3 linked regions of the Saccharomyces cerevisiae S288C genome follow. The protein of the gene in region 1 purifies or fractionates together with the protein of each later gene. This does not show direct contact. Each region holds a gene or a part of one and is shown on either strand. Other genes may lie near its edges.

Region 1 (2,965 bases):
AACAGCCCTAGGGTTCACAGAAACGCCTTCAGAAGAATCTTTTATTATCTTATTTATTAACCCGCCCCAACCTAAATCCGCATCCTTTGAAGAGTTGAAGTTTTGCGAATCCGAGGAATCGGAGCTATAAAGATAAAGGTTAAACCTCTGAGCTTTATTCGCAACTGATAGGCCGTTATAAAACTTGAATACCGGAGATATGTTAATAACTCCGGCAGCTAAGCCCTTTTTTACGTGGTCAATCTTATTCTCAGTCGATGAATTAAATGGAGAAAATGGGGAATGTGAACTTGACTCTTCGGTAGATATATTGTAAGATGAAATTTCCGGAGCAGTTTCTGTTGTAATTGCTATTGTTTCCTTCAGCACTACTACTAAGTATACTTTATTTTTATGGACTATCGTTTCCAAAATATTCTTGAATAACATTGCAGGAATTTCATCTAGAGCTGATTCCATATTGGACGACTTCGTCATGGTAAAAGACTCTGTTAAAACTTCGTCTTTGGTTCTCAAGTATACACAAATAGAAAGATCTTGATATTTAGGATCTGATATAGAGGGATCCCATGCCAGATCTTTCAAGTTAACCAAAATGCTCGATCTAACTGTGCCGAATAGTCCGTTAGATGAGGACTCATCATCGGACTCTACCACAGGTACAGTAGGAAAATTATTAGTTAAACCACAAAGCATTGACGATGACACTAAAGTTCTTAATTTGTCGATCTCGTATGAGAGCAATTCGCCAGTATCAATATCCCTGGCAAAAATTCCTTCGAAACCATAAGGATCTGGGTTTCTTGGAGTAGAGTTAGCAATTAGTTTATTCTTCCTGTATGTGGAGGACAAAAATTTTGCGATTTTAGTTCTTAGGGATGTTGCTGCTCTTATCAGATTTATTTTCTCAGCCTCTGTGGTTAAATTCATAGACAATCTAAATCGTATAGTGTCCAAATCATAATAAAGTTTTATCATTTTCCTATATATAGAAAACTCGCCAATTGAATACATAGAGTAAACATGCGAGGAAATAAGAGATAATATAGGACCCATTTCGTCCTTAAAGGACCTCTTTTGGTATCTGAAAAAGGGGAACGGAGGTCTCGGTGTCTTTCTTGGTTTACCAGTTGATATATCATCAGTAGAGCTAACATATAGGCTGTCACAAAAGGAGCGGGACTCACATTCTTTACTTATCAATGGTTTAAAATCCTCAGCACTAGGTGCTTTGAAAAATGGCATTGTGCTGACGGCTTTTTCTGCTTCAAAATGAACATATTTTCTAGGAAATATCACTACTTTCGGTTTCACGTCTGGCAGTACATCATTCGCCGAGTTCATATTCGATATGAATTCTTCAGGAAAGGGTCGTAAACATTGGTACGCTCTACACCATTTCTTATCCACAGATTCTTCGAAGACGTAAACTTCTGCACCCACATAAACGTTCGCATAATTGCTGTTTTCATATACCAGCTCAGGATACCTTTGTAAGGGAAGGAAAGATTTGACTAGCACACCATATATTAGCCGATCCGTGGGCAGCCAGCGCTGTGAATCCTGTTGCGACATTGTAATAGTAATCTCCCTAAAGAAAAAAAGACCCCTGTTTTATATGACTAATCTTCGGTCCTCTATAATTTCAATTGAAGCAATAATTGACTGAGTGGTGTACAAACGGTTGCTTGAACCATTTATATTATTTTCAACTCATCAAGTCATCCCCTCCTTGATATGCGTTATTGATATATTTCAGTTAAAATTCCTCCGTATTTCGTGATATATTATTCGCGAGGTGGCGAAAGCTTTGCTACTAAATACTCTACTATGACCAGTAGATTAGGTTCTATAAGGGTGCCAGAAAACTACCTAAGTGCTGGTTGACTTATAAATTTTAAAAGAGTGTTGATGAGTATGAGTTCAACTGTAATTAAATTCAGGGCTGGTGTTTGTGAATACAACGAAGATTCACGTCTATGTACGCCAATTCCAGTTCAGGGTGAAATCGAGATCAAACCAAATGAAGAGGAAGAATTGGGATTTTGGGATTTCGAGTGGCGTCCAACGGAAAAGCCGGTCGGGAGGGAACTTGATCCTATTTCTTTGATTTTAATTCCTGGAGAGACCATGTGGGTTCCAATAAAATCCAGTAAAAGTGGCAGAATATTTGCTTTAGTTTTTTCATCCAACGAAAGGTACTTCTTTTGGCTGCAAGAGAAGAACTCAGGTAATTTGCCCTTAAATGAATTGAGTGCGAAAGATAAAGAAATTTACAATAAGATGATTGGAGTGCTGAATAATAGTAGTGAAAGTGATGAGGAAGAAAGCAATGACGAAAAGCAAAAAGCTCAAGATGTGGATGTTAGTATGCAAGATTAAATCAAGGTTGTGGCATTTTTTGATAAAAAACTGAAGAGAAAAAATATACCATATCAACGCATTTGGCTGTGAACTTCTGTAAAGAGATACGGACCATAACAATAGGCATGATGATGGCATCTATAACTTCTATTGGAAGGTAAGTTTATTTTTCCCATAAATATGTATATATGGTCTATACTCTCAAATGAGCCTACATATTGTTGCATATTAACGAGGTTCCCATCTCACCGACCAACTTAGTTTATCACCTGCTTTAAATGGGATGATGCTTATGTCTTTGCCATCGCTGATAACCTGAGGGATAACTTGTTCTTTTTTGAATAATATTGCCTTATCTGAAGAAGCCACTTCGCTATCTTTAACCTCATAAAAGGAAATTCCGAAGTCGGAAACAAAGCCCTTTAAGTTCTCCAAGGCATTTTGCTCTTCAAAAACTTGGGCGATATAAGGGATCGCAAAAGATTGTGAGTAAACTCCTGCGCAAACACCCTCGTAATTGGCCTTATTTTGTACAGGATGAGGTGCTGAATCAGATCCAAAGAAAAAATATGGTTTCCCTGATACAGCAGCTTTGACTAGA
Region 2 (3,370 bases), on another chromosome or scaffold:
AAAATTATCTCCACCAGGAAGAAAATGCTCAATTCATTCTTGTCTAACTGTCTGAACATTCAAGAAATAAGCAACGATATTGTTTTTCAAAAATTTCTAAACCCTGAATTTAATTGGAAAGATGTTTTAAGTTCGTCGCCGATAATCATACTACCTTTGAATAACCTTTTAGCTCCACCTTTAAGCCCAACAAAACCAAGCCCCCTTCATTCTATTTTACCTATTCCATCCAACTCGTCTCTGAGAAACTATAATTCGATTTGGCAACAACACATCACAGTAAAAAGTCATAATGAAATTTCCAACCTCCCAACAGAAATTTTACAAAACGAATCTCAATTTACACATATTGAAAATTTATTCCAAAATTATAAGCGAATAATCACCCATTTATTAAAAAACATAAGATCAAATAAATCTCATTTCCACTCCTTGTCCACGTATTTTGCTGAATTAGGCGCATATTATAATGCTTTTAGTTTGGAAAATGACATAACCATGCCCAACAGCCTTCGCGAATCTGAAAACAATTCAAACAACCCAATGATGGAAATTATTAGTCATATTGAAAAGACAGGCCATTCATTCGATGTTATATACATTTCTTCCGAGATCTTAATAGAAAAGTACACCTCTATTCTTGAGGACCCCATTAATGAGTTATTGCAGTTCTTAAATGAGTCATTCAAAGTTCTAAATTTCAAGAAATTAAAGTTTTTGCAATTTAAAATATTAGAGAGGCTAATTATCGAAAAAGAAACGAAACTTTCGAGTCTCACTGAGATTGAAAACCAACTGCAGAAGATTAATGAAAGTTTAACGCGGTCGACTATATTGACAGATGAAAATTACAAAGATACAAAGGCTGCTGACCTGACATTTGTTAAAAAGGACGTAAGATCGCTATCGAAGTCAAGTTCAAATTCAAGCTCCAGTGGACACCAAAACGAAATTCATATAGGCGCAAGTAAACTAAACTATAAAACGTCTACGCCAACAATGAATCTCAATAAATTAGAAATCAAACAATTGACTGAACAAGAAAGATCTAAACAGATCAAACAGTTGAACCAAGATTTATCCAAATTGAAAGATTGTCTATCAATCTGTATATCAGACATGCTAGAAATTAACAATTCGTCATACAACAGCTTAATGCATACATATAACCATATTAATTTGACCATTGGAAAGATCTTGAAACTTTTCGCAGCTAGCTTCAAAGCATGGATCAAAGAATGTCTGAAGAATTGGAAACTGGCAAAGTTACAAATCGACGAGGCCCTATAAAAAGCATTACCGTCACGCATCGTGTTGCAAATAGCATATACATATATATATATATATATATACATATAACGTATACGTTAGAAAAATTTGAATACACACATTCATTTATCCTATTATTATCATTTTCATTCTTACCCGCTCCCCGCTTTCATCCGGTGGCAAAAGTAAGAACAAATAAAAGCTAGACCTAGATTGAAGAAACTATTAAGTACCAAAAAGCAAACAGTGGGCACACGCGAGGAAACCACATTATATTTCGCAAGATGTTTAATAATCATGAAATTGACACCATATTAAGCACTCTCCGCATGGAGGCAGATCCCTCTTTGCATCCTTTATTCGAACAATTTGAGAAATTTTATGAAGAGAAATTGTGGTTCCAATTGTCCGAATCCTTGACTAAATTTTTTGATGATGCTAAATCTACACCATTGAGGCTCAGATTATATGATAACTTCGTTTCTAAATTTTATGATAAAATCAACCAATTGTCAGTAGTAAAGTATCTACTTGCCTCTTTGAAGGATTCTAAGGATTTCGATGAGTCTTTAAAATATTTGGATGATTTGAAGGCTCAATTTCAAGAATTGGACTCTAAAAAACAAAGAAATAATGGATCAAAAGACCATGGTGATGGTATTTTGTTGATAGATAGCGAAATTGCTAGAACTTACCTGTTAAAGAACGACCTCGTTAAGGCAAGAGATTTATTAGATGATTTGGAAAAGACATTGGATAAAAAGGATTCCATTCCATTAAGGATAACAAACAGCTTCTATTCTACAAATTCCCAGTATTTTAAATTTAAAAATGATTTCAATTCTTTCTACTACACAAGTCTATTATACCTTTCTACCTTAGAACCATCTACAAGCATTACTTTAGCCGAACGTCAACAATTGGCCTATGATTTGAGTATCTCAGCATTGTTAGGTGACAAAATCTATAATTTTGGCGAACTATTACACCATCCAATAATGGAAACTATAGTCAACGATTCCAATTACGATTGGCTTTTCCAATTATTAAATGCTCTAACCGTTGGTGATTTTGATAAATTCGACTCATTGATAAAAGTTCAAATATCAAAGATTCCTATATTGGCTCAACATGAATCATTTTTACGACAAAAAATTTGCCTAATGACATTAATTGAAACAGTTTTTGTCAAAAATATTAGGATGCTTTCATTTGAAGATATTTCAAAGGCTACACACCTACCAAAGGATAATGTCGAACACCTGGTCATGAGAGCCATAAGTTTGGGTCTATTAAAGGGTTCTATTGACCAAGTAAATGAACTCGTTACCATCTCCTGGGTCCAACCAAGAATCATAAGTGGTGACCAAATTACAAAGATGAAGGACAGACTGGTTGAATGGAACGATCAAGTAGAAAAACTGGGCAAAAAAATGGAAGCTCGTGGCCAATCCATCTGGGTTTAGGCCATTGGCAGTTATATATAAAACACACACGCACACATATATATAAATGCAGAAATAAAATCAACTATCAACAAATATTGTCAAAAATATACTTCGCAACTTTACCATTCTTATAAACATCATTATGCAAACCCAAATCGTCCAAATACAACTTGAAACTTAACTGATAATCCTGAAGACAAGAAATTAAACAATTAGTTTGTCTTAACGTTAATAACTCGTCGCTATAAGAATGCACTAGGTGCATATCAATACTGAAGCGAGAAAGGGCTTTCTTCACGTAAGGCATTACTCTCGAGGGCTCTTCCTCGTACATTTGAATACCATCAGGGAAGGCAAGTCTTGTAAAACAATCATACTCTGGGTATTCTACCAACAGTTCCTTTAACGAGTATATACCATCCAATAGAAATACTCTCTTCACGATCTGCAAAAGTCCCAACATTTGCAATTGCGCTTCACTCATTTTTTCTTGAGGATCTTTGAGTGCAGCTAATATCTGCCAAATAAAGGTAGCTCCAACGGAATGTCCCACCATATTAATGTTCGTTAATCCCTTTTCTTTAACAAGCCTTGTTATATTTGACACAGCATCATATAAGTTTCTTGGATTTGTGATCTCTGGTGATAACCTG
Region 3 (3,112 bases), on another chromosome or scaffold:
ATAATGTATTCATGTTCAAGCAGCAAGACGTCATTGCGGAAGCCTTTGCTGGCGACGACGTGGTAGCAGAATTTCAGGAGGAAAAGAAACGTGTCATTGATGATGAAGATGATAAAGAAGTTGATACCACTTTACCTGGTTGGGGTGAATGGGCCGGTGCAGGTTCTAAACCAAAAAATAAGAAGCGTAAATTCATCAAAAAGGTTAAGGGTGTTGTTAATAAAGACAAAAGAAGAGATAAGAATCTACAAAATGTGATCATAAATGAAAAAGTTAATAAGAAAAACTTGAAATACCAATCTTCAGCGGTACCATTCCCATTCGAAAATAGAGAACAATATGAAAGATCTTTACGTATGCCGATAGGTCAAGAATGGACATCCAGAGCATCTCATCAAGAGCTTATCAAACCGAGAATCATGACTAAGCCAGGCCAAGTTATTGATCCTTTGAAGGCACCATTTAAGTAACTGATATTTATTGGTGGTAAAAAAATGCATATGTGGCACATTCCACTTTTTATATCTATTTATTATGCATTGTGTAGAATAGTAATACTGGAATAATTAGAAAAAAATCATTTAAAGGTTATGTAAGTTATATACACAATTGGCTTTCTTTTGGATAAGTTGAGTGAGATGGGTGATTGGCGGGGATAATTATAACATCATAATGCTTCTAATCTATCATTTATTTCTTGAGAAGTTAATTTTCTAAATCTAGGGCCTTTATCGGTTGGAATACCAGTGTAGCCTAGCAAGTCAGGGTTCTCATCGCCAATAATAGCCAGTTCAATGGTGTCACCATTGAATTCGCCCTCTACCGACTCCTTCAGCGTTAGTAAGGCAATATGAATGGCGTCTTCTAGTTCCAGTTCATCATTCCATCTTTTCTCTAAAAACGTTTTTGCCGCCACAGAACCTTTTCCTATAGCGGTGGCTTTCCAAGGGAAGTAGGAACCGGAAGGATCCACTTGATATAAACTAAACCCATTAAATTCGTCGTGGCCAGCAATCAACAGTGAAACACCAAAGGGTCTGACACCACCGGACTGTGTAGCCTCTTGCATTATTTTGGCTACTTCAGAAACCAGTAATTTGGTGGGAGGGTATTCACCATAAATTCGTTTATAACTAGTATGTGCTACCTTTCTTGATTTATCCACTAAAACTCTATAATCAGGCCCCATACCGGAATATACTGCACCAATGTCCGGTGTTAGTAAGGATACCTTCGAAAGTGTTTCTGACATGGCCAGTGGCGAGGACGACTTCTTTTCTGTGGCAATTACTACACCATTCGTAGCTTTTATACCCAATGAGGTGACACCTTGTTTTACTGCCGTCAAGGCGTAATCAATTTGACCCAATTTACCGCTGGGAGAAAAAGTGGTCAACGAAAAAGAATATCTGTCGGTCATAATTATAGAACTGTGTTGATTGGTGTCTTATGGTTGCTTACTACTAATTGAAACTAAAAATATAAAATGCTTCACCTATTCCACTCTCAGCTTATTGGGGCCGGGGACAATTTTGCCACCTTAATAAGCTATTATCGCTTTTCACGTCGAAAGGAAAAAATAAAAGCGTAAGCAATGGTGTAGATACTTCTTATATAGACGTTATTATTACTATTATTATTATTATTATTATTATTATTATTATTATTATTATTATTATTATTATTATTATTATTATTATTATTATTATTATTATTATTATTATTATTATTATTATTATATGACATTAATTACTTGTAATTATGTTATAACAGTGAAATAAATAAAATATCAAATTGTAAAGGTCATGCTTGAAGAGGCTTGCTCTTCCTTAAAAGGGACCTGAATTCCCTGACCTTTTCAATATTGGCATCATTTCCACTAGTGATGAAGCTTTCTTCTAGATAGCTCAGTATCTTATTGAGACCTTTCTGTTGGAGTGAATAGATCAACCCATTCTGAAGGACTAACGAGGAAGCGTGTTCGTTTATATAAATAGTTTCGATCAAGTTATTGAACAACATTGAAGGAGTGAAAGGATTTAAAAAAGACTCGACTGAAACCAAGGTCTTCAGTTCATCCATGTCCAATTCAGGTGACTTCAAATAAGCTTTGAATCTGCAGTAGTTCTTTACTTTTTCTCTCAATTTTTCCTTCATTGATTTGTCATTTTCAATGCTGGGAGACAATAGTCTGATGGAATCATACAAATTGTTTAGCATTTGATTCAGGATTTCTTTTTTAACTTTTGCTGCCATTCCACCGACGTTGAAGTTCATGAGGTGATCTGAATGGGCAATTAAGTTGTACGTCGATAGTAAATTTATGAAGCTTGTTTGGCTGGATAAAATATTGGCGAATTGTAATGTATTTTCCGGACTTTCATAATACGTGATGTTCCTATTGAAACTATCCAAAAATAAGGCAAATGTATAAAGGTCCATAGTCTTATGGGGGGTTCTCAGCTCCCTTGGAGTCTTTTCAAACAGCGTGAATGCCCCTTTTAAATCATTCTTATTAATTAAATATTCTAGCTGAATATCAATTTTTGATGATTCGCTTATTTTGTCATTAAACTTTTTAGAGAGACTTTCATACTTCTTGAATTCACCAGACCTGATACAAGATTTTAATAAAAGTTCCAAATTTAACACCGGAACAATATTATTATATCTCAAAATATCTGCGTACTTACCGCCGTCAAACAGTCTTTCATAAATCAGCTCAATAGCATTTTTGTTTTCGGCTTGAATAGCAATACTTTTGAACTTTTCTGGGAAATCACAGATTCTTATGAAATTCGATAAAGATTCGCAGTTTTCGATTAATTTTAACATAGAATCATTTCTTAAATTTGGCACAAAAACTTTGCTAAATTTTGGATTATTGATTATCAATTGGGTTAGGTTCCTACCAGGAATCTTTGAAATCATCAAATTTACGATATTTTTTAGTTCAATTGAATCAGGGCATACCTCTAAGCACTTGTCAATAATTTGTTTGTTAATAGCTCGTTTAATTATCAATTCTTTATAAGTGTCATAATCAAAGCAATAACCTTCTTTGCTCAATTTCGTAAATTCTCTTATACCACCTCTGGGTGAGTTCCTGATG

What was found.
Region 2: the proteins of RPN13 (region 1) and RPN9 purify together in Saccharomyces cerevisiae (affinity purification with mass spectrometry; 3 studies listed by BioGRID). This does not show direct contact.
Region 3: the proteins of RPN13 (region 1) and PRE8 purify together in Saccharomyces cerevisiae (affinity purification with mass spectrometry; 2 studies listed by BioGRID). This does not show direct contact.

The regions. Positions count from the first base shown.
Region 1 is NC_001144.5:964,507-967,471, reverse strand, and holds RPN13 (proteasome regulatory particle lid subunit RPN13), read left to right. Parts: upstream 1-1,911; coding exon 1,912-2,382; downstream 2,383-2,965. Other genes in the region: guanine nucleotide exchange factor DCK1, read right to left, coding at 1-1,575; URA4 (dihydroorotase), read right to left, coding at 2,593-2,965. UniProt on the Saccharomyces cerevisiae protein: Component of the 19S cap proteasome complex which acts as a regulatory subunit of the 26S proteasome, involved in the ATP-dependent degradation of ubiquitinated proteins.
Region 2 is NC_001136.10:1,320,652-1,324,021, forward strand, and holds RPN9 (proteasome regulatory particle lid subunit RPN9), read left to right. Parts: upstream 1-1,553; coding exon 1,554-2,735; downstream 2,736-3,370. Other genes in the region: SNX41 (Snx41p), read left to right, coding at 1-1,290; BNA7 (arylformamidase), read right to left, coding at 2,803-3,370. UniProt on the Saccharomyces cerevisiae protein: Acts as a regulatory subunit of the 26S proteasome which is involved in the ATP-dependent degradation of ubiquitinated proteins.
Region 3 is NC_001145.3:85,320-88,431, forward strand, and holds PRE8 (proteasome core particle subunit alpha 2), read right to left. Parts: upstream 1,421-3,112; coding exon 668-1,420; downstream 1-667. Other genes in the region: UTP14 (Utp14p), read left to right, coding at 1-470; RPM2 (ribonuclease P), read right to left, coding at 1,804-3,112. UniProt on the Saccharomyces cerevisiae protein: The proteasome degrades poly-ubiquitinated proteins in the cytoplasm and in the nucleus. It is essential for the regulated turnover of proteins and for the removal of misfolded proteins.